Tamandua tetradactyla: one gene and its partners. The main gene of each other region encodes a partner of the protein of the gene in region 4 in a complex. Links are inferred from orthologs where the notes say so. Each region holds a gene or a part of one and is shown on either strand. Other genes may lie near its edges.

The links.
Region 1: the proteins of NCBP1 (region 4) and SRRT are in contact, whole or in part, in a cryo-EM structure (PDB 8PMP), measured with the Homo sapiens proteins. The link is inferred for Tamandua tetradactyla from reciprocal best matches to the Homo sapiens genes NCBP1 and SRRT. Residues at the interface, in NP_002477.1 of Homo sapiens: Tyr461, Gln463, Lys511, Lys557, Ser558, Ser560, His561, Ser564, Ala567, Lys568, His570, Lys607, Ile609, Arg610, Thr611, Gln612, Met648, His651, Glu705; in NP_056992.4 of Homo sapiens: Asp857, Pro858, Arg859, Val862, Glu863, Tyr864, Arg865, Asp866, Leu867, Asp868, Ala869, Asp872, Asp874, Phe875, Phe876.
Region 2: the proteins of NCBP1 (region 4) and NCBP2 are in contact, whole or in part, in a crystal structure (PDB 5OOB), measured with the Homo sapiens proteins. The link is inferred for Tamandua tetradactyla from reciprocal best matches to the Homo sapiens genes NCBP1 and NCBP2. Residues at the interface, in NP_002477.1 of Homo sapiens: Glu32, Cys36, Leu71, Thr74, Val75, Arg77, Leu78, Leu79, Ser324, His325, Trp326, Lys327, Glu328, Arg329, Lys330, Ile368, Val370, Met371, Thr374, Glu378, Asn415, His419, Ser422, Asn423, Gln425, Lys455, Arg458, Leu459, Ser460, Tyr461; in NP_031388.2 of Homo sapiens: Gly4, Leu5, Leu6, Lys7, Leu9, Arg10, Ser11, Asp12, Ser13, Tyr14, Glu53, Glu54, Gln55, Tyr57, Glu58, Leu59, Lys62, Ser63, Asp65, Lys67, Ile69, Tyr89, Asn96, Arg99, Tyr100, Asn102, Gly103, Thr104, Arg105, Leu106.
Region 3: the proteins of NCBP1 (region 4) and NCBP3 are in contact, whole or in part, in a cryo-EM structure (PDB 8BY6), measured with the Homo sapiens proteins. The link is inferred for Tamandua tetradactyla from reciprocal best matches to the Homo sapiens genes NCBP1 and NCBP3. Residues at the interface, in NP_002477.1 of Homo sapiens: Lys330, Ile377, Glu378, Cys380, Lys381, Pro384, Pro388, Gln389, Ala392, His420, Asn423, Phe424, Gln425, Arg427, Trp428, Ser429, Glu431, Asp432; in NP_001107590.1 of Homo sapiens: Glu572, Asp574, Glu576, Leu577, Gln578, Ala580, Trp581, Gly582, Leu584, Ile585, Lys588, Glu589, Arg592.

The regions. Positions count from the first base shown.
Region 1 is NC_135349.1:8,881,878-8,889,257, forward strand, and holds the start of SRRT (serrate RNA effector molecule homolog), read left to right. Parts: upstream 1-4,378; 5' UTR 4,379-4,439; coding exon 4,440-4,565; intron 4,566-4,691; coding exon 4,692-4,831; intron 4,832-7,380. Other genes in the region: TRIP6 (thyroid receptor-interacting protein 6), read left to right, coding at 210-337, 455-580, 843-1,220, 1,523-1,616, 1,723-1,892, 2,353-2,531, 2,782-2,902, 3,021-3,152. UniProt on the Homo sapiens protein: Acts as a mediator between the cap-binding complex (CBC) and the primary microRNAs (miRNAs) processing machinery during cell proliferation.
Region 2 is NC_135336.1:16,605,904-16,612,737, forward strand, and holds the start of NCBP2 (nuclear cap-binding protein subunit 2), read left to right. Parts: upstream 1-3,820; 5' UTR 3,821-3,894; coding exon 3,895-3,972; intron 3,973-6,834. Other genes in the region: protein NCBP2AS2, read right to left, coding at 3,367-3,666. UniProt on the Homo sapiens protein: Component of the cap-binding complex (CBC), which binds co-transcriptionally to the 5' cap of pre-mRNAs and is involved in various processes such as pre-mRNA splicing, translation regulation, nonsense-mediated mRNA decay, RNA-mediated gene silencing (RNAi) by microRNAs (miRNAs) and mRNA export.
Region 3 is NC_135332.1:57,853,456-57,860,393, forward strand, and holds the start of NCBP3 (nuclear cap-binding protein subunit 3), read right to left. Parts: upstream 3,015-6,938; 5' UTR 2,994-3,014; coding exon 2,811-2,993; intron 1,010-2,810; coding exon 944-1,009; intron 1-943. UniProt on the Homo sapiens protein: Associates with NCBP1/CBP80 to form an alternative cap-binding complex (CBC) which plays a key role in mRNA export. NCBP3 serves as adapter protein linking the capped RNAs (m7GpppG-capped RNA) to NCBP1/CBP80.
Region 4 is NC_135328.1:14,734,335-14,741,478, forward strand, and holds the start of NCBP1 (nuclear cap-binding protein subunit 1), read left to right. Parts: upstream 1-4,136; 5' UTR 4,137-4,560; coding exon 4,561-4,594; intron 4,595-7,144. UniProt on the Homo sapiens protein: Component of the cap-binding complex (CBC), which binds cotranscriptionally to the 5'-cap of pre-mRNAs and is involved in various processes such as pre-mRNA splicing, translation regulation, nonsense-mediated mRNA decay, RNA-mediated gene silencing (RNAi) by microRNAs (miRNAs) and mRNA export.

The DNA of each region.
Region 1 (7,380 bases), on a different chromosome or scaffold from region 4:
GTGCGGCGGGACGGGACCACCGCGGCCCAGCGCCCTCCCTCCCGCCGGCGCCTGCTTCCTGCCGCCCCCTCCCCCAGGCCGGGCTGGGGCTGGCGGCCAGGGTCCCCCTCTCTCCCCGCCCTGCAGCCCTCCCTGCCAACTCGGACCCCAGGTGTACTCCTCCTCCCCTCCCTCATCCCCACCTTTGGTCTCTCTTCCCCTCATCCCAGCCCTCCAGCCCCACCCCAGGGTCAATTTTTGCCCCCTCCCATCTGAGCAGTGTTACCAGGCCCCCGCGGTACCGGAGGATCCGGGGCCAGCCTGGGTGGGGTCCTATGGAGCGCCCCAGCGCTCACAGGTGAGAACTGGGATTGGGGGGCAGGGTGCGTGGGGCCCTCGGAGCTGAGTGTGAGCCGGACCCAAGATGGGAGAGGAGATGTGATTTGCATTCTCTCTGCTTTTATTCCATCCCCAGGGACTCCCCCCAGATAGGGGGGGCTTACGCCCAGGAAGTCTGGACGCTGAGATAGATTCTCTGACCTGCATGCTGGCTGAACTGGATGGGGGTCGTGGTCATGTCTTACGGCGACCAGACCAACAGGTGAACCCCTGTCCGGCCCCCTCCTGCCCCCAGCCTGCCCATCCTCCCCAACCTGTCCCTTTCCCTCGGTTCTCAATCCAAATCCAGTCCCCTTCCCCTTCCTACCCCATACACACCCATATTGAAAAGCGTGGGAACGGGAGCTCTTACTAATTGTCTGTGACTCAAGGGCAGGGCCGCCTCAAACACGTGGAAACACATGGTTCCATGAACACATGGTCTGGAATGGGCCTTGGTCATTGTGGTCTGTGTTTCCCCCCAGGCTTATGAGTCCCCTCAGCCCCCTGCCTACCGCTCCAGTTCCCTGAAGCCGAACAGAGGGGGTGTTCCAGCCCTGCAGCTCCCAGCATCCTCCTATGGGGGTCCCACTCCGGCCTCCTACGCCACTGCCAGCACCCCAGCTGGCCCGGCCTTCCCTGTGCAAGTGAAGGTGGCTCAGCCAGTGAGGGGCTGTGGGCCACCGAGGCGGGGGGCCTCTCAGGCCGCTGGGCCTCTCCCTGGCCCCCACATTCCTCTCCTAGGCCGAGGGGAAGTCTGGGGGGCTGGCTATCGAAGCCACCGGGAGCCAGGGGGTAAAGAGGAGGCTGCTGGGGTTTCTGGTTCAGTCGGAGGAGGAAGAGGAGGCGGATATGGGGCCCAGGTAAGCCTGAGGCACTGGGATTTTGCGTCCTCATGGACAACTAGATGCTGATGGTACGGGGTACAGGGTGGAGTTTAGTGTCCTGGTTTTAAATCAGAGTCTGAGGGCCCGGGCCTCAGAGCTCTGGATCCCTGAGGGATGTGGGCAGCCTGGGAAACAGGAGGGAGAGGGCTGCCATTGGCTCTGTGAAGCACTCCTGTACCTAGGGCTGAACTGTTCTCAGATGGGTTTTCTGGGTTGACCTGTCACTGTCAGGAGTAGTTGCCAGAGGTAGGACTGAAACCCCGATTCTTGCCTCCCAGGTCCCCCTGAGCCAGCCTCCGGAGGAGGAGCTGGAGAGGCTGACCAAGAAGTTGGTGCACGACATGAACCACCCACCCAGCGGGGAGTACTTTGGTGAGCAGGGTGGTGGGAAGGGGCAGGGGGTACTAGAGAGTCAGAGGGACGGTGGGCCTGTCTTCCTGGGTCTGTGCAGGCTGACCTGTTTCTTCTCTGACCCTAGGCCGGTGTGGGGGCTGTGGAGAAGATGTGGTCGGGGATGGGGCCGGGGTGGTGGCCCTCGACCGAGTCTTCCACGTGGGCTGCTTTGTCTGTTCCACATGTCGGGCCCAGCTCCGGGGCCAGCATTTCTATGCTGTGGAGAGGAGGGCATATTGTGAGAGCTGCTACGTGGTGAGTGGCTGGGAGGCTGGCATTGGCAGCAGGAGGCAGGGGGCTTCTCTCTAATGCAAGAACTAGCTGTCCAAGCCTAAAAAAGGAACAGGTTCAAAGCTGGGAGAATTGAGACTGAGACAGGAGAAGAAAGGAAGAGTTAGGTAATAGCTAAAGATCTGGGCTGCTGGTGGGGAAGGACAACATTCCTTTCAAGAGCAAGGCAGATGAATTAAGGAGCTGCCTTAAATTCCCACCATGCCCCTGCCAGGCAGGTATTCCTATTGCTTCCCATTTATATAGCTCAGAGACATGAAATGACTTGTCCAGTAACCTGCAGTGCTGAGACTTGAACTCAGGTCCTTTGCAATGATTGTTCACTGAATCACTGGCAGTGGGCTAGATAAATAGATGGTGGGCTGACAGAATGACTGGAGAGCTGCCACGGGGCCCCCTGACCATCCTGCTCTCTTCCCCACAGGCCACCCTGGAGAAGTGCTCCACGTGTTCCCAGCCTATCCTGGACCGGATCCTGCGGGCCATGGGGAAGGCCTACCACCCTGGTTGTTTCACCTGTGTGGTGTGCCACCGTGGCCTTGATGGCATCCCCTTCACTGTGGATGCCACCAGCCAGATCCACTGTATTGAAGACTTCCATAGGTCAGGCCCTGCCCTGCCCTTTCTCTCAGGATGCCCGGCTCTTCCCATCTCCCTCACCTCTGCTGTTTGCCCAGCACCAGTCCTGTTTCTAATCCCTGGCCCTGTTCTTTGGCCTCACTCTTTTCCCTAAGACCCCTGTCCATATCTCTGGCTTCTCCCATTCCCTCCTATATCCCACTTTCTCTGGCTCCATTGGTAGGACCCTCCATCCCTGGGGCTTAACAGCCTCTTTGGTTCCCTTCCATCCTAGGAAGTTTGCCCCACGGTGCTCAGTGTGTGGCGGGGCCATCATGCCTGAGCCAGGTCAGGAGGAGACTGTGCGGATCGTGGCTCTGGATCGCAGTTTTCACATTGGCTGTTACAAGTGTGAGGTCAGAGGGCCTGGGCAAGGGGGAAAAGGGGTTTGCAGAGTCTGGGGTGCTGGGGATGGCAGAGTGATCCATGATAGGGCCAGGAGCTGACAGAAAACTGTGGCTTCTTTCCTAACAGGAGTGCGGATTGCTGCTCTCCTCTGAGGGTGAGTGTCAGGGCTGCTACCCGCTGGATGGGCACATCCTGTGCAAGGCCTGCAGTGCCTGGCGCATCCAGGAACTCTCAGCCACCGTCACCACAGACTGCTGAGTCTTCCCAGAAGCATTAGCTGCGCTCTCAGCTCCCATCAGCCACCCTCCTGACATCTGCCTTTACATCTGTGTCACCAAATGCTGTCCCCTCTTCTGATCATGAAATAATAATCCCTCAAGAGTTTACAGAACACTTTCAAGTCTACTGTCTCATCTGATTGTCACAGCAGCCCCTAACCCAAACACACACAATGGTTATTTTTACATATGAGAACACCAGAGCTGAGAAGCCACTTCCCCAGATTGCAGTGGTTCCCAAATGGCAGAATCAAGATTTGAACCTGGGTCTTCTTAGCTCTCCCTGGTCCATATATATATGTTTTTGCAACTCGACTACAGTCTTTAGCGTAGCTTGGTGTACAGACATCTCTCCGTGCCGGGAGCAAAGGTGCAGCAAGCTCCAAGGAGCTTTTAAGCTTGCATGTAAGCCCGGGGCAGGCAAGATTCTGCCTGTTGGTTGAGTATTGGTTGGGGATAAAGATGGCATTGGCCAATTTTGTTTAAAGATGGGGCGCCTTTGTCGAGAAGCAGGACCACTGGGTTTTGAAGACAGCACACGCTGTGATGCCAATCACGGCTGCTCTCTGGTGGGAGCACAAAATGGTGGGAGGGGGCGATTTAAAATGGTTGCTCTTTTCCCCTCAACAACCCCTCACGCCCCAAGCCCTTGACCTGCCGAAGGAGAGGGTCGAAACCATCCTTAGGTCAGAAGAAACCCCAAGCGAAGAGTCAAGCGCGATGGCTGGATACGAACTGACTTAGGGCCCGGACACAGCTGGCAGAGCGTGACACTACGCGACAGTGGAGGACAACTCCGCTTCACGCCCAGGGGTGCCACTACCTTCGCGAGGATAGTCTTGATCCTGCCCGGCTTCCGTAGTTTCTCTCGCGTGTGCAGTTCTCGTACGGGAGCGCGCGCGAGATTTCCTCACCCCTTCCCATCATCCTTTAGTTCTTTGAGTTCTCGTTCGGCGCGCGCGGGGAGGATTCCGCTGTTCCGGGCGTCGGTCCGCGGGTGACGCAGGCGCGGTGAGAGCAGTTCGCGCCCGCCGACAGTCCATCTCTGGCAGGCCCGCTCCCTCCTTGTTTATTGGCCCCTTCCACCTAGGGCCCCGCATCTACCTCTCTCCTGCCTTGTCGTGCCAGGGCGCGGGCCAGAGTCTCCCGGAGAACAGGCCTGCACGAGTGGGAGGCCAACCGCCGCGACCGCTTCCAGGTGGGGGAGGGGTGGGAGCCGGGGTCTCCGGCTGGCCCTTGAGAAGCTGGGGGACCTGAGCCGGGGCCGATGGGGAGCGCGCTGGAGGCCATTGTCAAGTCGGGGCCGACGGGTCTGGGGCAGGAGCAGGGAGACCCTTGGGGGCGAGTGGAAGTGTCGCGGCCGTCCACCTGCCAGAGAAGAGCAGTTAGGATGGTGGGGACAGTGGCCGGCCGGCCGGCTTTTGCGGGAGGGAGGTGGGCGTGCACCTCCTGAGGGACGATCCCTTCGACTTCCTGTCATTGTTCGTTGCCGCCCTGACCCTCTCTCCCCGGGCTCCAGGCCCCTTCAGACTGCGCTATGGGTGACAGCGATGACGAATATGATCGAAGGCGCAGGGACAAGTTTAGAAGAGAGCGCAGCGACTATGACCGTTCCCGGGAAAGAGATGAAAGACGTCGAGGGGACGATTGGAATGACCGGTGAGACACCTTCCATTCCTTCCTGACTCATTCTGTTGTATTCAATCCTCGTTGCTTTTCTCTTAACATGATTTTATTAGAGTGAACCATATGAAACCGCCGGCATTTGGCCATTTATTGCACAGAAAGGGCAATTTCATATGGTGCAGGCTACTTGCTGTTGATCATAGAACTGTTATGTATGGCTTGATAATAGGAAGGCTGTGAAGATCAAAGCAGTGAAACTAAGAGGTTGAGTTTGAAAAGATAATATTTATGCCTGCACTTAAAGTGTATGCATTTTAATTTTTTTGTTGTTTGTTTTACATGGGCAGGCACCGGGAAACAAACCCGGGTCCTCTGGCATGGCAGGCAAGTATTCTTGCCTGCCGAGCCACCGTGGCCTGCCCAGTGTATGCATTTTATTGTTGGAATATACTTCTAAGAGTTTGCTTCACAAAATTACTATTATTGAATTGACTTCACTGGACTGTTTGAAAGACCAATTCCTTGGCTGGATGTGATTAATTTTTTTGAAATTGTTCCCCCCAAAATCTCTGTATGAGTTATTTTGGCAGTACCAGTTGAATTTATTGATTAGATTCCAGTCAGCAAGTGATTAGTTTACTAGAGTGTTTGTGAGCTATTTAGGTGTCTCCCTTAAGAAACTTCTTAAAGGATTTCAAATAAAGTAATGAGGAGGAAATATGGAAGGACTTTTTATTTGAGGGGCTTCACAAACACTTAAAACAGTGGTTTAGTTTGGAAATCTATTGGTATAAAGAGTTTGAGATGACTTATTGTAATAGCATTCATTCATCTGATATTAAACTTTGTTATTGTTTTGTCAGAAACCTCCAAATGAGTTCTTTGAGTGGTGCTAGTTGAGTTCATTGATTACCTTTGAGTCTGCAAGCTATTAGTTTACTGGAGTGTTTTTGAGTTAAAGTGTTTAAAGGAATAGTTCTAAGGGAGGAAGGAGTTGTGGAGGTGTGTCAAGGAGAGCTCCTGGAAAATGACACTTAGCTAGACTTGGATCAGTGAGTGGGAATTCCCCAGGCACAGGTGGAGTGGGCAGCTTGGAGTTGTGGGTGTAGGTTGTGTGAAGAAGATATCTCATGTTTAGAGTAGCGGTTCTCAGTATTTGTTCCAGTGAGCTTTAGAGGTCTTGGAAAACCCTTTGAGAGAGGGGGCCTGTGAGGTGAAAGCTATTTTCCGAGTAATAATAAAATATTACCACTTTCACTATATTGACACTGGCACTGATGGTGCTGTAGCACTGCTGAGGATAAAGCGTGCAGGCATGCAGGCACCTTAGCACAAATGAGGCAGTGGCACCATTTTCACTTACGAATGTGCTTGATGAAACTATGAAAATTAAGTTGATTAAATCAGATTCTTGAGTATGCCTTTAAAATACCTGCAATGAAATGGGAAAGTGTATAAACCATAGCCGTAGTTCTCTTGAGGAAGTGCACTTGTGTGACTGACTGACTTGTGAGCTGAACTGGCTGCTTTTTATCATGGGACGCCATTTTTACTTGAATGAATGTGAAGCGTGGTTTTTTAGGTTGGGTAATGAAAAGGAACTAAGAACTTGTTCAAGGAAAACAATTCGTTGCCAATGATGAAGTGGAACTTTCAAGTGAAAATTAAAATTTCGGTCCACTTGTATTCATCACTGTGAGCTTAACAGATCCCCAATACTTAAATAATAAAATAGGTGGTAATTTTAATGAATTTGATACTGTGTAATGAAATGTGTAAGAAGTAAGATAAAACAGTGGATTTTAATATTGCATAGTACAAAATGTTCATTGATAACATTGCAGATCCCACATTGCAGTTAACCTTTAGGAAACTGCTACTTGTTGAGTTGGGATCAAAGAAGAATATCCACAGTTTTCTGAAGAGGCATTTAAATTAAATTTCTTCCTTTTCCAACTAAAACAAAGAGGCTGAATTTTCTAAATACGTTGCAACCAAAGCAACATGTCACAATAGATTGAATGTAGAAGCAAATGTGAGAATCCAGTGGTCTTCTCTTAAGCCATACCTTTAAAGATTTGCAAAAATATAAAGCAGTGGCACTTTTCTAGTAAATCTGTTTTGAAAAATAGTCATTTTCCACAAAAATACATAATTTATAGTATTTGTAACTTAAAAATTAATAGGTATTGTTTGGGCAACTTGAGCCATGCATGTAAGGGGTGGTAGCACAGAGTGCTGTGCTTGCATGGCAGTTGTCCTGGGAGAATGTTTGAGAGCCGAGCTTTGGGGTGGCCACCTGGGCTTGTAGCTTTGAGGGTCAGGATGGATGAGTATGTACTGACCTCTGTTAAGAGTCTCATCATGGTGAGAGTGGGGTGGGTATGTCCAGCTTGTTCTTGACGTTCACAGAGGAGACTTTAAGGTGAAAACAATTTCAGTGATGGAAATGAGGCTCAGCTTGTAATATGGGATACTGCTGGTCAAAAGAAGAACGTTAACTCCCAGCTGTTACGGAGGTGCACAGGACATTACATTAGTTTCTGATGTCACAAGACGAGACACCTTTGTTAACCTGGGTC
Region 2 (6,834 bases), on a different chromosome or scaffold from region 4:
ATATTTCCCTCCTTGGAATTTTATTATACCCATCATGACACTTCATTGTTCTCGTGCTTTGCTTTTCTGATTTGTCTTCATACCTCTATTGCTTATCATCCCATCTGGCATTGATGACCACTTGTCTATTTTGCAGCCAAAGATGGCTTTCTGCCCTATGGCTATTAAATCACGTGTCACCTTGAAGACACTCCAGATCCTGGGACTCCAAACTGTCCTCTGGGATTCTTGGCACTTTTGCCTGTCCCTTCCCCTGCAATTGGGTTCACACCCTCAGAATTCCCTGGAGGAATTGTTCTTGTGGCAGTCCATGTAGATTGTATATCTGTCTGTAAAGTGTTGGTATTTCTCCAGCATCAAGTGATGAGTCTTAATTGGTCTGTGGTATAGTGGGTGAGCTGCTTCCCTCCATCTTTCGTCAGGACTTAGAAGAGCTTGGAAAGGGATGCTGGGAAGAATTTGGTCTGTTTCTTCATCAATAAGGTAATGGTGGAATGACAGGCTACTGACTATAAACATGGGAGGCTGCCCCTCCAATGAAGCTAGATGGGAATGAAATCACCTCTTGCTAGAGCAGAAAAGATGGACCCAGTTTTCTCTATCTGAAAAAAAAATAGAAGGAAATTAGTTCTTATACAAGTTCTTCCAGGGAAAATAAAGAACTGCCCCCTTTTCTTTCCTTTCTTACCAAATAGCCAATCTGCATCTGGAAGCTTCATTACTTCCTTACTGCTTCTCCTTTTGTGCGCTTGTTTATATTGGGGGTAAGGGGTTGGGCTGGGGACTGCTAATAGTCTGCTGTTCTGATATCCAGAGACCAAAGAGATAGAGGCAGCAGGCAGGGCAAGTTTCTCAGGCTCCCCACTGCCAGGGGGCGTCACCTCTAGTCCTGAAGAGGGAGCTTTGATAGCAACTTTGATAGGAGGAGGTCAAACCAGGACTTTGGTCATTAGGAGAGTGGGGCGTCTGGCATCAGAGAGGATGTAATAGCCCTTCTGATAGAAAGGCAGGAGGGTGGGATGCCAAATCAGAATACGCCATTGGGAAAGTGGAGAACAAGAGTAGATAGAACAATTCTATTTGTAACTGAAAAGATATATTCCTTTCAAGTATGGATGGAGCAGGACCTAGAATACCTTCTTTGACCTTCTCAGGTCAAAGCAAACAGGGCCAATTTAGACACAATTTTAACCTTCTCCTCTCCTGCTTTTGACTGTAAACTCTTCAGTCACCATTATCCTCCAAAAAGCCAATACCCTAAGGATCCTTCGGGCATATCCACTTTAAGTGACTTACTGGGTGGAGAGTTGTTCTCCTTTTTTTCTGGTGTATTTTCAATTTATGCTTCATTTTTTCAGTGGGACGTTTACTAGTTTAGTTAATGCTCTTTTGATTGTAACTAACCTGAAAAAGGAAAATCTGTTATAAGGATACTGTGTTATATCCTAAAATCTAGAGTCACACAACTAAGACTTGATAAGGGCAGAATCAGGATCCCTTGGCAGTAGGTAATTCAGGGCTTTCTTTTTAGTTAGTCACTAACATGGCTACCAATAATTCGTTGTCTTGAATATGAATTCCTAGGAGTCTGCATCTGATTGCAAACCTCAAACCAATCCCCTATCGCCAGAGAAGAGAAAATTGTTGAAAATACACCTTGTAGGCAAGCCAGGATATGCTCAGCCAGCCACTCCGGTAGGTATCCAGGGCAGAATGGAAAGCTTTGTCACTTGTGAAAGCTTTCAGGTTTCAAACACATCTGGCAGTATTATTTGAAGAGCATCTTTTTATGCCTCTCAAAGTAATCACTGGGTCTATTCCCAGAGAGGACCTGATACAGGTTTAGGAGGGGATCTGTAAGAGGAGGATCAACTGATGGTGTCAGTGGTGGCAGCCCATGACTCATCTTCTTAATAATGGAGATAATGAAGGTGGCAAGAAGGATCCTACTCTTAGAAAGAGCTGCTAAAATGATACTGATACAGAAACCTATAAAAGTAAAAAGCAGGACTGTCTGCATGAAAGCAATACTAATTACAATACATAGCTGGATAGCCTTTATATCCAAAAACCGTGTAGCACCAGGACTGGAACCTCTACTTCATTTGTAAAAGACAAAGCAAGGCCAAAGCTAAGGTAGTAAAAATGGTAGCCAATGGCTATTTTGTTACATGTGAAGTAATAAATGTTTTTGTCAATACTCTAGAAATCAGATTTTTCCTACAAAACATAATTTCCAGCTTCTGAAAAACCATACGATCCAGCACTACCACAACCCCACCCAACAAAACCCAGCTGGCACTGAGAAGCCAATACCCACCCTGGATGGGTTAGAGACTCTCCACTTGGTAACACTGCCCTCCCCATTTATTGCTTGTACTCCAGGGTCATGAGTTTGAAATTCCCAGGGTAGACTCTTCATGACTGAGAGAAAAGCTTAGGTATTAAATTCTGTGTGGCCACCAGCCTAAAAGCCTTTCCTGTGCCTTCAAGCTTTCTCGATTACACGATTAATGAAGTAGCCTAATAAGTGATTACCAGAAATTCAGCTAGAAGCCCCAAAGACAGGGTACTTCTGTATACAATTGATTTCTTAATCATAGGCCCATTAGCTGGAACAGTCCTAGTCTGTATCCCTTACTCTCTAAAATGGGGGAGTAAGAACCCAGGCAGCTTGTTCCAGGGGCTGGTGCTGATGGGTATAGGCAAGCATTGAGGGTCAGGGTAAGGGCAAAGAAACTATAATTAAGGACTGAGGCCCTGGAGACAAGTGCCTGTGTTCACAAACCACTCTGTAAGATGTTTGGCAACTTACAAGTAGCCTCCATTTCCTTACATGTTCAGATGCACTTAGCAAGTTACCAACAAAGCAAGCACTCAATATGTGTTTACTATTACCACGGACCTACAGCCCCCAGGATTCCTAATCCATCCTGCCTGAGAAGTATCACACTCAGGCCCATTCATCAGCTCACACATTTAATCAGGGTATTTTGGCAGCTGCAGGGTTGTCTTTCCGTCAGTAATCTTCTTTGGAAGAGTGCCGGGCTGTACCAGTGTAGATGCAGCAGCATCTATCAAGAATTTCGGTCTCATCTGCAGAGAGCAGGATCTCTTTCAGGCTGTGGCTCTCTGTATGTCTTGTATCTGGGCCTGGCCTATCTTTACCCGTCGGGCTTCGGCGTCTTTCCCCATATTGTATCGGTCCGATCAAAGGGTTTCAACACGCTTGTCGGTTTGGTCTGGGCCTTCCCATGAGTGGGACCCTGTAGTCAGATTTCGGGGCCGTGCGCAGTGCTTCAATGTCGAGGTTGATGTAGAGCCCAGAAGGGAAAGTAGGTGATCTCGACTCGGCCAAGCCCGGGCTTAGGGTTCTGAGCCCGGGCCTCTTTGGCTACCTGGTGGTGACCCCGGGCGGTCCCGAAGGCCGCGGCGCAGTTCCTGGGTGAAGGTGTCTTTGAAGCGGGCAGCACGGCAGCCCAGGGAGTTCGCGGGCCCAGCCTTGAGGCCCCGGAGGCGGCGGACTGCGTCCTGACCGCGCAGCTGGGCCTGCAACAGTGCGAAAGCCGTGAGTTGCGCCGCACGCCGGATGGGCCGCGACTCGGACAGACGCTCCACCAGTTGCGAGCTGTTCAGCAAGGAAACCAGTAGCCGCCGAAGAACCATCCTACCCGGAGCGCCCCGGAACCCGGAGCACACAGCGCACGCTTTCTCATCGGCGACTCCCAACAAGGACCGCGTCCTGCATCGGCGCAACCTGATGACGACACTGACGCGCTTGGATTGGGCCTGGGATTTCCGCTTTCTGCATCCACCATACGCATTTCCGGTTCCGGCTCCGCCTCGGCCACCTTGTTCCCGGCGTCGCAGCGTCCTTATTCACCTCCGTGCACTATGTCTAGCGGATTTCTGAAGGCGCTGCGCAGCGACTCCTACGTGGAGTTGAGCCAATACCGGGACCAGCACTTCCGGGTAAGGGAGGCCGGGCCACGAGAGGGAGGACCCTGGGCCAGTACTCTGAGAAACGATTTGCCCTGTCTCGTTGTTGTGTCTTCCACCCTGATGCTGTCCCTCATATTGAAGTAAGGCCATAGTGCGGCCTGGGGAGACAGGAAATGGATTCGGTAGGGCGTTTGGTTATCACTGAAGCTATTTCCTCTCATAGAAAGGGAGTTCGAGGCTCGCTTTCTCAGTTCTGCATTTGCTCCTTGTACGCGGAGACGCCTTCCTGACCCAGATATCGGGGCTTTTCTTTTTTCTTAATCTAGATTACCGAAACAATGCCCTTTGGCATTTTGGGTCCTTTCCTTTGTCTAGTAGGAAGGTCTTACAGTGTTCTCAGTGGTGGGAGATAAAACTTGAACCCTGCGGCATCCCCCACCACATGGAGTTGTCCGTGTAAAGAGATGGACCAGCCTAGCTAGGCACGTTGAGGATGTCTGGGTGTCAAGATCAGAGAACTGCTGATTTGCGGGAGGGACATTTTATATTGGGCAGTGTCAGAGAAGATTTTTGTGGAAAAGGAGAGCCTGCAGTATTTATTCATGCTGGACTTTTCGTTATCAACAAAGGACATGTGTAAGGCGGTGGTAGTGGTGGGGTGGATTTACCAATCCAGTTATCTAGTAAACATTTAGCTTTTAGCTAAGCCCTAGGGGGAGGGGGGAGACAGTTACCTCACCCTAAGAGCTCTCAACCATCTAGTAGTGATTGTAAAGGTCAGCAGTTTTTAATGTTTACTGTGTGCCAGCATGATTTCCATTTCCACCACTTTTACAGTTCTCATTATTTTACAAAGTTTCACATCATAAGTATCTTGAATTTAAACCATCCTGCAAGATTAAAACTGAAAGTATTCGACTTTTGCTATTACTCATCTCTACAGTCTAAAGCCTGTTGCTTTGATTGGATAGTAGTACAGTACTGCCAGGTGGAATTTCGAGTGTTCCCTGAATGGAATACACACTAATATACCTTAAGTAAATACTTACACCACTGTTGTCTTAAGCCATAGGCCATTAGTTTGACATTACTTACATGTGAGAACAGCAGAAAAAAGGAAATGCCTCCTTACTGTAATTTTTAACATATAACAGTAATATAAAGTGATTTTACTTTTCCTAATGTTTTATTTCAAAGTTCTGAAAACCTGTTTTTAACATAGAATGATTTTTGTACGGATTTTTTATCACATAACTGTGTATTCATCACCATGATCGTTTTAGAACATTTGCATCACTCCAGAAAATGAAATAAAAAGAAAAAGCTCATACATTCCTCCTCCCTCTTATTGACCACTAGTATTTCAGTATGCCCAACTTTTTATTTTACCCTTTACCCCCCTCCATTATTTATTCATTCTTTGTCCGTATTTTTTTTACTCACCTGTCCATACCCTGGATAAATCACACAGTCACATTGTAAAAACTATATAGTTATACAATTGTTTTCAGGAATCAAGGCTACTGGAACACAGTATCTACTAGATAATGCATAAGAATAACCTTCAGGGTAACCTCTCGACTCTGAAATCTCTCAGCCGTTGAAACTTTATTTTGTCTCATTCCTCTCTTCCCCCTTTTGGTCAAGAAGGCTCTCTCAATCCTATGGTGCTGAGTGCCGGCTCATCCCAGGAGTTCTGTGGGCTTTTAAGGGTAGTATGGGATTGAGGTAAGAGTGGGTTTGAATTCCAGCTACAACTACTGAGTAGCTGTTGAACCTTGGACAAGTTACTTAATTGTGTTTTTCCTCTTATGTAAAATGAGTATGATAAATTAGGACCTTCTTCATACAGTTCTGAGAACTGAATGATTTAACATATACATAAAATCTCTGCTTCTCCCAGATTCAGACATAGTTACCAGTTTCTTGTGTGTGATACTTGTGTATATTCAGACTTAATAAGTTGGAACATACTGTTTTCATTGATTTTCTTTTTTCGCTTTGCACTTTTCACTTTTTCACTTTGCACTTCATCTTGGAAATGTTCCATATTGCATGAGGCTGTGCATTTTTCTAGGGGATACATATTTGATGTGCCATATTTATTTAACTTTTTTATTGTATAACATTTATACAAAACAAAGAAAGAAAAAAGCAATAGTTTTCAAAGCACTCTTCAAACAAGTAGTTACAGGACACATCCCAGAGTTTGTCATGAGTTGCCATACCATTATCTCAGATTTTTCATTCTAACTGCTCCAGAACATAGGAGACTAGAAGGAATAAATATTTTATCATCACAATCAACTTTTTTTGTGTGAAAAATATATATATACAAAAAAGTAATAAATTTCAAAGCACAGCATAATTAGTTGTAGAATAGATTTCAGAGTTTAGTATGGGTTACAATTCCACAGCTGCTTCAAGATACTGGAGATTAAAAAGAAATAATCAGTGATTCAGAAATCATTTGTTGTTAAACCCTACCTTCTCTGTATAACTCCACCATCACCTTTAATCTTTCTATCCCACTCATTAGGGGTATTTGGGCTATGGCTATTATAACTTTTTCATGTTGGAAGAGATTATTAATAATATAGGGTAGGGAGATGGAACTATCTGATGTTCTGGAGAGGCTGGGCCCTCTAGGTTTCAGGACTTATCTGGTCCTGCGACCCATCTGGATTGTAGTTTTCTGGAAAGTTACCCCCAGTGTGGAATCTTTGTAGAATCTTATATATTGCCCCAAGTGTTCTTTAGGATTGGTTGGAATGGTTTTGGTTGGGGTTTGGCAAGTTATGATAGGTAGCAATGTCTAATTGAAGCTTACCTAAGAGTGACCACAGAGTAGCCTCTCGACTGTATTTGAACTCTCTCAGCCACTGATACTTT
Region 3 (6,938 bases), on a different chromosome or scaffold from region 4:
ACAACTAATCTACCTTCCTTTGGTAGACTTAAGCACCAACTCGAGCTACCAATCTTTTCCCATACAATGACAAACTGTACAGAATTAAAAACAGTACAGTCTTCTTTTTCCATGACAATGAGAAAACATTTTCACTTTATTCTACTTTCTGCTTGCTCTTTTTTTGGCCTTTAAGCAATCCGAGACTGATTGAGACTGGGATGAAATATAAGTAGATAAGCATGACATATTTAATTTTTATTTTTGCTTTTATGCATAGCGTATAGCAATACAGTACTATTATTCAGAATGCTATTCTGATTCTGTTCCTACCTCAATTGCACACATCAAAACAGAAAAAATGGCTAAGCTGAATACGACTGATCAAAGCAACAAATAGGTATCTACCGTTTATGATAAGGAAAATAACAGGTTTGTCTCTCTGAGCTGCTGGTAATTTAGTTTACAGCAAACACCAATAAAAGGCAATACTTATAGTTATTTTGAGAATACCCTCAGAATCTAAGGTTAGACAGTCACACAATCATGAAGCCCATCTTTCTAAGCCTGCAGCCAGTGATGAATAAAGACATTTACTAAGGGTCGACAACAAAGGCAGACACTTTTCATGTTTTGTTTTATTTAAAATGGAAACAGAATACATTCTTAAAGAAAGAACATGGCATAAAAAAGCATTCCCAGTGCAGAACTTTTTCTTCGAAATGGTTATGCACAAGCATCTAGCTATAGTGGTTTTATCTTTTTGTGGGTATGATAACACAAATAACGCTGGAGGTGTGCAGGCTGTAAAAGGGCCACGGTGTGTAACACAAATTTAAAAAAAATTAATCCAATAACACACAAAAAATGAGGTAAAGAATAATTACTGCTCTGCATGTCCTAAGAATCAAGTTCAAGTACACTCACTTATCAAACTGAATAAATAAATCATGTTCTGTCTTACCTTAGAGGTAACATCGATTCCGGTGATGAAGCTGCCAGCCTTGTTTTCGTATCTTCTACTTGTGTCCTAATACAAAAGAGAAGGGTAAGAAACGCTGACAGCAACTGAGAAAAATACCCATGATAAAAGAATGCCAAACAACAGATTCCTTTCAGATAGTCATTCTTTCCAGCAACCCCTCCCCAACCCCAGACATCCCCTTATGAGGAAGCCTGTCCCTGTGACATCAAGGTTAGTAATCAACCACTCTAAAGCGTTCTTTCTAGATCAGAGCTTATCCAAAACTTTAAGTAACTCCATCAACTGACACTGACATTGTATCATTCTTTTGACCTGTCTGGGCCTCGATTTCCTCCATGGTATCTGCCTATCTTCCTAAGGTGTTTCTACTCTCCCATTTGTACCACAGAAGTTTCCATTTCTCCAACAAAGCAACCTTGTTCCCATCTCAAAACCTTTGCACTTGATGCCCCTCATTCCTTGCCCAGAAATGCTCCCTTCCAAATCTGTACATGGCTGGTTCATTTACAGTACAGTTTATTGTCACTATCTCAGAGTGCTTCCCTGACCATCTTATCATATTCTACTTCCCACTTTCCACACCCCACCCTCAACCCCTGCACTCTCTATCCCATTATCATGATTTATTTCCTTTTATTTTTTTTCTTTTTTTGGTATGGGCAGGCTCTGGGAATCGAACCCAGGTCTCCAGCATAGCAGGCGAGAATTCTGCCACTGAGCCACAGCTGCACCACCCTATCATGATTTATTTTCTTCACAGCACCTACCATTATCAGAAATTATTTGTTTACTTGTTTATTATGTGTATTCCCCAATCAGGAGGGAGTTTGATCTTGACCAGGCACCTAGGACAGTGCCTAGCACATAGTTGAGAATGCAATAAATACACAGGTGAATTGAATGACTGAAGGGATGCTAAAACCTACTTCACAACTACAGGGAAATTTAAACGATACAATGTAGTGAAAAGCAAAATGCTATTATGTTAATTGTAGTTACCCTATAAGCCCTAGTGTTTATCTCTAGTGATTCCATCTTGACTTTTTTCCATAACTTCAGTTTAAAAGCAAGACTTGCTGAAATGTGATTAAAAGTAGCTCCTGTTAGCTTAGAAATCAAGTACTGGGTAAGAGCCACCCAGAGCTAAGACCAGCAGTAAGAACCGGGCATATAACTACCAAACCACAAGCAAAACACCTTTCTCACTATCCCCATGAGATAAAAAGGATCCAAAGAGCACTAATGGTCCCGATACTTCAGTTTCATTAAGGATCAGATGCTGGGGCTGCGGTGTGGGTTCTACACAGCAGTGGAACTGCCCTGAGGCAAAATGACCCTCAAGTCACAATAGAAAACACAGTGAGTCTCTGCTGCTGACAAATCCAACCCTCCCAAGAGAGAGACAGAGTGCCATTTTTAACTACACCAGAGCCAGGACCCACGGGGAGACCTGAATGTCGGTGCCACCCAAAAGTCCCTTCTGGGCCGCTCCAGGTTCTGTTCTCGCCCCGGGGTCCCCATTAATCTGAAGCTCCCACAGACAATTCCAGCTCCTACTCGTTGGCTCGGAGAGGTAGCTAAGGGGGTGTCCACAACAACTCCCTAGCTCTGTCCCACCTCCTCCAGCCCCCCAACACCCATTTCCGGCCGCACTGGAGTCCTTTCTCTAGCGCCCCCACTCCCCTCAAACCTGGCGCCCCTGCCCCTCCCCCCCGGCGCTCGCTCTCCTCGCTTCCCCTCCCTCGGCTTCTCTCCGCCCGGGAGCCGGCCGCCTCCCCTTCCGGCCCCCTCGGGCGCCACCATTCCCTCTGCGACCTCCCCCTCGACCCCCGCCCCCCGCCGGTACCGGGATCAGTTCCTTCAGCGAGCGCCGCACCGGCACGATCTCCAGTTCGCCCTCCTCCACCTCCATGGGCTCCGGCTCTCCACGCTCCAAATCGGGCTCGGCCTCAGGCGACGGCAGCCCCAGAGCCGGCGCCACCGGGGCCTCAGCCTTCACCGACACTCGCAGGCCCCGTACGGCCGCCATCGCCGCCCGCCGGCCGCACCACTGAGCACCCGCCCAGCACAACCGCCGGCTAGAGCGCCGCCACCACCGGCCACAGAGGAGCCACCGCCGCTACCTAGAGTGTCACTTGCTTCGTCCAGAGGCCGGCCCTCAGCGCGGTCGCTACCTGGTGGTGGGAGGAACCTGGGGCAGGCTGGGGCGGGACCTGGTGAGGAGGGAGCAGGACCTGCTGAGGGGGCGGGGCCTGAAGACTCGTAGTCTGGGATTTTTTAAAAGCTAACTTTACTGAGTGGTCACTTTGTGCCTGACATTGTTCTAAGCGCTTGAATCTTTACAACAACCCTACAAAGTAGGTCCTATTATTATCCCCATTTCACATGTGAGGAAACCGAGGCATAGAAAATAGCCATTTCCTGACAGGTTATTAGAGGGTAAAACCTGGATCGGGGCCTAGGTAGTGTGGCTGCAGAGCCTAAAATGACATTTGTTCCATCCCCACTGTGCAATCCATATATGCCTTGCCCACCTTTGTCTCTTTCAAGTCTCCCCGAAATTAGCCCGTTTTACATACACAAAAGTTAAGACTCCATGAAGGTAGTGGCCTAGCCAAAGGCCAGAGCTTGAACCTCAATTGCCTGACTCCTGAGGGCTTGATGTACTTACTGCACACCTCTGAGCGTAGTTTCCGTGCACACATTTCTAAAAAGAGCCGGGTTGCAGGAGGGGGTATTCTCTAGGCTTCCAGTCAGCGCCACTGATTTTTTGCTTTGGATACCGGCTTTGCAACTTCCTTGCTTGGGAAGGTTCCAGCCAGTTTCTGGGCATGTTTTCCCATCTGAGGAGAGAGTAAGTGAGCACCCTAGGGTCTCCGGGCCCTTCCCTCTCTGATCTTGGAGGAACAAATAATTCTAAATCAAGGGCACTTGTGATCAGCACCAGTCACAGCTGGGTTGGGGCTGACTGGCTCTGCCCCTCACACCATGTGTGACCTTGGGCAAGCCACTCAATCCTTTGGAAACCCAGTTCCTTCCTGGGTAAAAGGGGACAGTATTATCCACCTCCAACAGAGATTGTGAGGATTAAATGTGATAATTATACATAGATACAGATCCAACAGAAGGGGTGCTTCTTAAATTTGGTCTTTCTTAACTTTGGGCTAAGCCATGGGACAAACATAGAATGGAGCTTCTCAGAGACCTAATTTTGCTTGTTGAATGAGACACAAAGTCGTTAGAAAGTTGGGTTGAATCTAAAGGCATGAAATGGATAGAATGCAAAATTTGTGTGAATTTTAAAGAACAGTTCAAAGAAAATTTGTGCTTGGGGTGATCAGCATTGTTTGACAGTTATGGGGCCACCTTTACATTTGCATTCTAGGCTGCTGGGGGCGAGAAGAGGAGGGACAATCTCTCTTCAGCTATGGACACCAGGAGGCCAGCAGAGAAGGCGGGGCTGGTCCCTCTCCCTGCTGGAAAAGCCTGGCTGCTTGAGAATTCAATTCAGTGAGGAATCTGGCACTGGCACAGTGCAGTTTGGCCCCCAGGGGGAGCTCTAGTAGGCAAGTAAATCAAGAATCCAGGACAAACCCGGGCATCAGGCAATCAAACAGCAGGGCTCCTAAAGCGCCCCTCGGGAAAGGTCTTTGTGCCTTTCCCTTTTTGGTCACCTAACCACAACATCCACTCCCCCACCCCACCCCCATCCCTCCTGCTCTCAGTGCAGCCTGCTGAGGTGTGGCCGTGGAGAATTAGGAGGTGGTAAAGAATAATTTTCAAAAAGTTAAAAATATGACTCTCATACAAATATAAAATGAACGTATGTCAAAGCTTGTATTCAGCTCACTAGTGAGATATTAAGACTAGCTCGAAAGAGAATTTGAGCACTGGATATTTATGGAGCTGGTCAAAAGAATGCCAAAGTGAATTTAACAAGACAGATTAATGCCCTACTAGGTTCCTTTTTTTACCAGACGGAAACATTTACATCACTTGCTATGAATTTTCTATAAATTAACCTCTACCCTTAGGGAGTTGTAAAAATGCCCTAATCACAGCAAATAGGAAGTCAAAGAAGGGACTCATCCCTGGAAAATCAGATAATCCCCACATGGAATAGGCATGTCAGAAAACACTCAGCACTACAATGAGAGGACATCCAGAAATCCTTTTTCCTATTCCAAAGTTTGGATGATTTTTATAAGCAGAAGAAACCAGGAGAGTGGGACATTGGGGTAGACTGGAGAGAGGGTTCAAAAAAAACCAGAGCCATCAATGTCAAGGCCACCTCAAGTTCACAACGGAACTTGGCTTGAGTCCAGTGGTCTGTTGTCCACAGGTTACCAGGAGCGGACAATGCCCATGAAGGGGAAGGCAGGCGAGAAAAACAGACAACTTTTCTGAGAAGTTTGTGAAGGGGAGGCTTGCCCACGTGTGACCTTGGAGACTCAGTTCCTTCCTTGGCAAAAGGGGACAGTATTATCTACCTCCAATGGAGAGTGTGAGGATTAAATGTGGTAATTGCATGTAGATATAGATCCATAGAAGGGGTGCTTCTCAAATTTGGGCTAAGCCGTAGGGTAAACACAGGATGAAGCCCTTCAGAGACCTAATTTTGCTTGATGAATGAGGCACAAAGTTGTTATAAAGTTGGGGGAAGGGGAAGGGTATCAGCTGGGCCTTCAGAAAGATTACTTTTTAAAAAAAAATGAAATTGACCACTCTCTCTCTCCCCATCCAGAGAGGAAGGAAATAAAATCAACTGAACCCTGCCATTCCTGAGGTAAGAAAGGGAGAAGCCATTAAAAGGTAATATAAGCTCCAAAGGTGACAATGGATGCCGTATGAAGACTGGAAGTGGGTTTCACTGCCCACGAAGGCAGAGATGGTCTACAATGCGGTTTTCAACCTGCAACACACAATCCCACCTCCCACCCTCCAGTTCACATCTAAGATCCTGGGAACACGTGCAGGATGGCAGATAAAGATGGGGAAGCAGCTAACCCTGGGGGCTGAGCTGTATCCGTGCCCCCCATCCCTGCCACAAACTCTTGAAATGACTGTCTTCGCTCACTTTCCACATTTCCCTCACCTCCGTGGGCCACTGGGCACCACGGTCACTGGTGGCCATTCCCTGGTTCTTAAAACCACACACACAATGACCTGGTTTTCCTCTTTCCTCAAGCCGCTCCAGCTCTGGCGCTGTTGAGGGGTTCTTCCTCCTCCCCCAAAGTAACAGTCCCTTAGGACTCATCCTGGCGCCTCTTCAGTGTGAGCAGGGGCTGCTGTTGGTGGGAGACTGGAGAGTGGAGGGGGGGTGGCTTTTAAGCCTGGAACGGAGTGGCCTGGGGGCCTCAGAGGTCTGGTCCTGCTGGAAGCTGGAGCGGTGGAGGAATCCGCACACACCAGGGCTCTGCTCCCCAGGTGAGACCCCCTTGGTGTCTTCCCAGGCTCCGGCGGACCCACAGGGCCCAGTACCACCCGCCCGCAGAGGGCAGCCCTGCAGACAGGCCTGCTTGTGTCTACCCCGGGGAGGAGCTCCTGCACGTGTGCCCACCTGGGTGTGGTGGGGGTGACTCCAGGATCTGAGGGTGTTTGTATGTGTCCCACTCTGTGTCTGGGTATCGCCTGGGAAAGCTGGAACCCTCAGTGGCCTGGACCACCCCCCGCCTCCCCTAGGCTGAGACCACATACGATGATGGAGGTGGGAGGTGGGGAAAGTGGCCGAGAACAGAGATCCCAAAGGGCCCATGGGACCCAGAGCCCAGAGACGCTGAGAGAAACCAGGACCTTCCAGGTCACACCCCACACTTTCCCCCAAGCCTTTGCTGGGCACCCGTGGAGCTGGGTTTGGCTCCCTTATGTGGGCACATCTGGAGGTGCATCTCGGCTCTGATTTCCCAGGAGTCCTTCCTTTTATGTCGGGTCCACAGTTTTACTGGAGTGGAGCTATGGTGGGAAGACACGAGTG
Region 4 (7,144 bases):
TCTGACCCCACTTCAGGCACTGGTTTCTTTTCCAACCTGCTTCATAAAGGACCTGCTGCTTAACCTGGCCTCTCCACCATCCCACTCAGATGCCATGTTCACTCCAGCTTTGATTCCTTACACCTTTTTGTTCCTTTACACTCACTTCTCTCCTCTCTCCCTATCCAAATGCTAAACACCTTTAACAAGATTTAGCTCACATGTCACTTCTTTCACACATTCGTCTCCATCAGCCAGTGCCCCATCTCTTAGTCATCTCAGGCCAGGCACTCTGCTTTGGCCACCTGGACCTCACCTAGTCCCACACAGAAGCCATGCTTTGCACATGCCTTTCCCACCACTCCTTAAGGGCTGCCCCTGCCCCCTCTTGCTCTAAATCCTCGTTCAGCTCTTGCTTTAGTCTAATTATAGCTATACTTTTAACTATTACTTGCAGAGGCACGATTGTGTGCCTGACATAAGAACAGTGCTGAAGAGGCAGCTCTGACTGGAACAGTCCATGCCCCTGTGCCCCTGGAACTTCTATTCTAGTAAAGAGAGAGAAACATCAAATAAGGAAACAAATAAGCAAACATGTAAAAACCACATGCTTCTGCTGGATCCTCCTCATGGTCCCAACCTCTACGTGCTGAACTGCTCTATTCACACTCACTCCCTGGGTGAATTAATCTAGTCTGAAAGCTTTAAACTCTATTTGCTTTAAAATGATGCAGGTCGGGGGCTGGGTGGGAACATAGGTGAAACCGGCTTGGCCTTAATGAGCTGATGATTATTGAAGCTTGATAATGAGCACATAAAGGTTCATTGTGTAAGTTTTCTACTTTTGTAAATACCTAAAATTTTCAATAAAGAAAGAAAAAAGGGGAAACAACTATAAAGGAACCAAAAATTGTTTAGAACACTATACAGTAAATTACTCTAAATTTCTATCTCCAACTAGGACTTCTCCCTTGAATTCCAAATTCATGTAGCTGACTCTTCTCCTGGATAGCTTCAACTGGATGTCTAATAGCCTTTTCAGACACAACTGTTCAGAACCAAACTCTTATTAAGGTACTCTCCCTGGAACCAAACCTATTCTTCTCTGGTATTCCTTGCCTCAGTAAAACTAAATATATAAATCATTCTTCCTGTTCCTTAGGTGTGCTTTCTTAAAAGTGTTGTATACCCCAGAAAAGCAATGTCCTTTAACACAGATTCAATATTGTAGGGCAGAAACTCTTTTGATTAGATTATCTCCATGGAGGTGTGGGGTGGCCAACTGTGGGTGTGGCCTTTAGGTTAGATGGAAATATGGCTCCACCCATTTTGGGTGGGTCTTGATTAGTTCACTGGAGTCCTTTAAAAGAGGAAACATTTTTGAGAAAGCATAGAACTGATGTAGATGCTTGGAGAATAGTTGCTTCAGAGCTGACAGAACCAAAAGACCCAGACATTTGCAGATACAGGGCCCAGCAGACATCACCATGTGCCTTCCCATGAGATGCTAAGCAAGCCAGAACCCAGAATTGTGTCCCAGAGGAGCTAAGTGAAGGCCCACAAAAACCAAGTGAGGAACTCCCAAAGGAACAGGCTGAAAGCAATAGAGCCCAGGAGCAAGGGACCAGCAGATGCCAGCCACGTGCCTTCCCAGCTGACAGAGGTGTTCCAGATGGCATCAACATTTCTTGAATAAAAGTAACCTCTTGTTGGCGCTTTAATTTGGACTTTTTCACAGTCTCAGAACTGTAAACACATAATAACTTCCCTTTTTAAAAGCCATTGCATTTCTGGTATAATCCATTCTGGCAGCTTTAACAAACTAATACATCAGGCAACAACTTTGGCATATTTCCTGAGCTCTGCTCTGGAAATACAAGCAGGTCAAACAACTTCTCACCATCTTTACTTCCACCCCAGCTCAAGCCACCACCAGGTCTTGCCTGAATCACTGCAATAGCCTGACTGCCTTTCTTATGTAGGAGCCAAAGTATATTTTTTAATAATACACAGACTTATTTTTTAATAATGTCAGATCACCCCCCCAAAGACTTCTCAACTTTCTCAGATAAAAATCCAAAGTCCTTACCATGCTCTCACTACCTTTCTGATCCATACTTCTCTTTGCTCTCTTCTCTGATTGCACTGATCCCTTTGCCCATTCCTGAACAGGGCATGACAATATCAGATTTTTCCTTTGTTCACTGCTGCATCCTCAAGAATTAGAACAGTACCTAGCACATAACTAGTGCTAAATAATAAATACAGTATTTGTTGAATGAATGTCTGAGTGAAATAAAATAGCTATGAATGACCTAGTGGCAGGGCCAGCTAATTTAATTAGGTATCTAGGGAAGACCTAAGGACCTGATGTTTCAGCTGAGCCCTAAATGACAAGGAGCCAGCCAAGCAAAGATCTGGGATCAGAAACATTCAGGTATGCTCCTTGTATCTACAGTATGGACAGATGAGTAAAAAATATGGTAAGATATATACAAATAATAGGGGGAACAAAAGTTAAAATAAATTGAATAGAATGAAATACTAGTGGTCAGTGAGAGGGAGGGGAAGGGGTACAGCATGTATGAGTTTTTCTTTTTTATTTCTTTTGCTGGAGAGATGCAAATGTTCAAAAAAATGATCATGGTGATGAACACACGAAAGATGATACTGTGAGCCAATGATTGTAACCATGTCAAGAATGTTTGTATGTTTGCTTGTTGTTTACAATAAAAATAAAAGAAACATTCAGGCAAGGGAAAGAGGGAATATAAACTCCTACAGAGAGAACAAGCTTGATTTACTGGAGGAACAAGAAGACAAAGTGGATGGAGCAGTGATGAGCAGGTAGAACAGGAAGGCCACAGTACAGAGTCCTCCACAGAAGTCATTGTGGGTTTTAGACAAACGATCACCACCGTCTGATTCTCATCTTAAGAACCTTCTGGCTGCTGTGTAGAATTTTAAGAAAGCAAGGAATCAAGTAGGCCAATCAAGTTACTACACTTATTAGGGTGAGAGAGGACACTTGCTCGGATTAAAAAGCCAGCAGTAGTGAGGAGTGCACCAATTCTGGATCTCCTTTGGAAGTAGAACCAGTGGGGTTTATGGATAATTGCTATGCAGGAAGTGAAGGAAAGAGGGCTCAAGAATGACTCCTACCTAGATGTTTGGATTGGGCAACAAGATGGACGGTGCCATTTACTGAAATGGGTAGGGAGAGTGAAATTTCAAATGACCAAGGAGAGACAGATAAACAGGTGGGGGCTCACCAAGGCCGGAGGTGTTCATATATAAGTATATGCTGCGAAATGAGATTTTTAAAAGCCGACTGCCTTGGGAGTTACCGGTAGCGATCACCTTGCCGAAAAATGACACGGATTCAAGTACAGGTCTCTGAGGAAATAGCACTCCCGATAAAGTTGCAATTTTTGCGACACCTGATGATAAGCTGATCTCGGACCAGTAAGGACAGCCTATTAAAAATGGACAAATACATTATACTAACCAATGGCTATCTGTTCTCTGCTTTGTAAGACCCTATGTAATGAAAAACTTAGCCGTCAACCAATCTTAACTTTCCATTTGAAATTCCCTAATCGTTTCTATAAGTCGCTGTGGCCTGCTCTCATTGGAGACTCACTCCTCCAGTTTGAGATCTCTCTGCTCCAGCAGTTTCTTTAAAAAAAATCTGCAAGTTCTGAATATAATGGTGACTTAGTTTCTCTTGACAACCCACAAGTACTGAAAACGAATTACTAAAACGGCCAACAAGCTCCTTCTAACGCGCGGAGGCGAAACGTACAACAACCGAGGTGCTCCGAGCAGGCGGGCCTCCCCTATCACAGTGGGCGGCACGTGGGGCCCGCCTTCCGCCCGGGCAACCCCGCGTAGCCTGACCCAACCTCTCCGCACAGCTTCCCGCGTAGGCGAAAACCGGGAAGCGGTAGTACGTCGAGCACATACCCGCCAGTCCGGAGCCTTGCCGAGGTATGGGCTCACTGAACAGTCTCCGCTTAGCAATTGTCGCTGCTCACGGCCTTCAAGCCTTACAGCCCCAGCCGCGAGTTGACGTAGGGAAAAACGCTCACGACGTAACTTGGCCACGGAAATCTCAGTGGCCGTTAGCGCAAGGGCCGCCGGGAAAACCACCGAGAGGATCCAGGGCTGGGGAAAGAGCGTCCCGCCCAGACCTCCGCCTCCCGTCCATTCCTGCCCCGCCCCAGGCCGCTCGCAGCCGGCGAGCTGTACCTGAATGAAGCAGCTGCGCTTTCTGCGTGGCCCCGGAAGGACAGAGAGCGAAAGGCAGGAGAAGAAAGCAGCCGCGAGGCGAAGGAAAGTCGAGCAGAAGAGGGGGCTGTTGCGTGCCGTGCAGACACCTGCGGCCCTCCTGCAGCCGAGTCTGCTAGCCCACCCGGCCGACCTTCATCCTTGCGCTTCCGGGAGCCGTCGCCAGCGAGTGCGCCTGCGCGCCGGCGGATCCGCGCGCCTGCCTGCTGTGGTCGCGCCGGCTGAGTGTCCGACGGTTCCTACCGCACCTCCTGCCCGGCGTCTCGCCTCGGAAGCGCACCGACGTGCGGCATGTCGCGACGGCGGCACAGCGACGAAAACGACGGTGAGTGCCCTCGACCCGGCCCTGGCTGCCGCGCCCTAGCTTCGGCTTCCTTGGCCTTCGGGTCTCGAGGGAAGGAATGGAGAGCCCTTCTCCCCTGGTAGAGTTCGTACAGCCGCGGAGCCTAGGAGGCTGGCAGAGCGGGGGTGTGGCCAGGTGGGTTCCAGAAAGCGACTGCTGCCCGCAGCCCTCGCGCCTTTAGCCCGTGATTAGAGCCCGTGATTAGAGACCTCCTGGTCTCTAAAGACGCTTCAGGGGTTGGTCCTGGCTCTGCCGAGCAGGAAGTAGACCCGTGTCTGTGTCCTTACCTCTTAGATGGGCAGTGGCAGGGACACAGTGTCTCATTTTAACCTTCTAAGTTGGCCTTCAAAGTAACCTGAAAAGGCCTCTAAGGGAAACTTAATTGAAGAAAAGAAACAAAGCACTGACTCAAAGAGCTGATGAATTGCAGCCTACTCTGCTCCTGTACCTACCATCATCCATTGATTCAACTTTGTTCAAACTTTCAGAAAAGGAATCTTGTGTCTTCTCTCCGCTCAAGAGGTCACTAGTAAACAGACCCATGCTGTTTTATTAGGTTGTGAACTGGCCTTAGGCGTTTTCCATCATGTAATTAAGAGTGCTGGAAAACTAACTGGAGATCTTTTTGAAATTTAGATCAGGGGTTCCATTTCCATTGGGTGCTGTGCTCACAGAGATACTAAGAACTAAGACTTTTTCTAGTAAAAAAAGTAGAAAAAGATACTCACATTTCACATAAGCATTACAAAAATCAGTCATGAACACAGATCCAGTCAAAAAAACACCTGTGCTTAAATCTGTTTTAATATTTTAGTGAATCATTTATTAAATTGTAGAGTAATGGGTAAGAGACCAAACTTTGGAATCAGAGAGCTGATGGTTTCAAAGCTAGACCCCATTATTTATTTTGTGGTCTTATCCAGGTTATCTAATTTCTTTAAACTGTAATCTATAAAGTAAAAATAATGATAATCTGTTTTGGGTTTTGTGAGGGTTGAGTAATGCTTGACAGTGATGTTTATTTTATAGTCTGTTTAATGCTGAAGAGGTCATAAATAGTGGCACGTGCCAACAATGTAAGAAAAATGCAAAACAAAAATTTTAACTTTTTGATAATCTTAATTTTAATGATAATTCTCCATTATTGTTTTCTCTCCTTGAATGTTGAGCATTTGTGGATGAGGACAGACTCACTTGTACCTAGTTTTAGCAGTGAAACACCAGATTTCTGCTAGGGCATGGCTTGAGAGGTTATTCACAATCCATCTGACACCACAGGGTGCAGAGACTGAGTGTAATGAACTAACATGGAGACAAAGTAATCAGTGCCCAGACACCAGAGAAGACAAGCCCAGAACTCTTCACTACACAGGCACTGCTGTGTGGTATACTTTAACAAGTGACTGCTAACGTGTACGTACAGAGCATGGAAAATACAGTCTTTGTGTATTATGGATTTGACTAATCAAAAACTAATATGTTTGAAGTCATCTCTTGGGATTTAGAGAACTTGAGTCTATTGTTCTTCTCATGTTCCTTGCTCTTCTTGTGCTTTCTTTTCTCCACTCTTTCTTCTCTCTCTCCTTTCTAGGGCATCCAGAAAGGGAGGGGGGATGGTCCCAGAAGGCAACCCAGAGGAATGGAATGCAAATATTTAGAAAAATAACTTGTTTCTGATTATTGGAAAGCTTTCATAACTTTCTGTGGGATTTTGAACGTCAGCTGGCAGCATGGCAGCAATGATGTAGCTCATCATTGTCCATGTGGGTCTTGCTGCTGGAGTATCAGTACGCAAGTAAAGACAAAGAGAAGTAGAATAAGAAATTGATGAAGCGAAGTCCACAATGGTGGATGCTTTAGTAATAGAGGGACAGTTTATAGTTCTTTGAAATATATGAAATCTAGAACTTTTGTAAATTGCCGCACTATAGGTAGTGGTCAGTTGGAGTTTACCCTAAAATGGATCTGAATCAGAATGTTTCCCTTTTAGTTAAACTTCTACTTATTTTTTAAAATAACATGAAAGCTTAAATATTATAGGAGGCTATTTTAAAATCAGAATTAATACCGTTAGGATTAAATGGATACTTCAAGCCCTTCTGCATTATTGTTCTCGCTTATGTCAGCAATTGCCCTGACTTTCCGTATACTTGGATGCAGTCATTTACTTGACCAATATGTAATAGTGTCAGCCACTGTCCAGAATAATTGTCAAATAATTGGCAGTACTGCAAGAGACAATTTAAAGATGGAGTCTCCATTCTAGTATAGAGAGATAGGCAGAAAGCAATCAATCAAGTAAAATGCAGTGTATTGTATGGTGGTCAGTGCTGTGGAGAAAAATAAAATCAGTAAATGGGCTAGAGACAGGACCGAAGGAGAGGAGTTAATATTTTATGTAGCTGTTCAGGGAAGGCCATCTGATACTAGCATCTGATTGTGAGCCTGCAGGAGGTAGGCAGGAAAATTACATGGATTCTGGGGAAGAGCAGTGGTTCAGGCAGAGGGAACCTAAGTGTAAAGGCTCAAGGC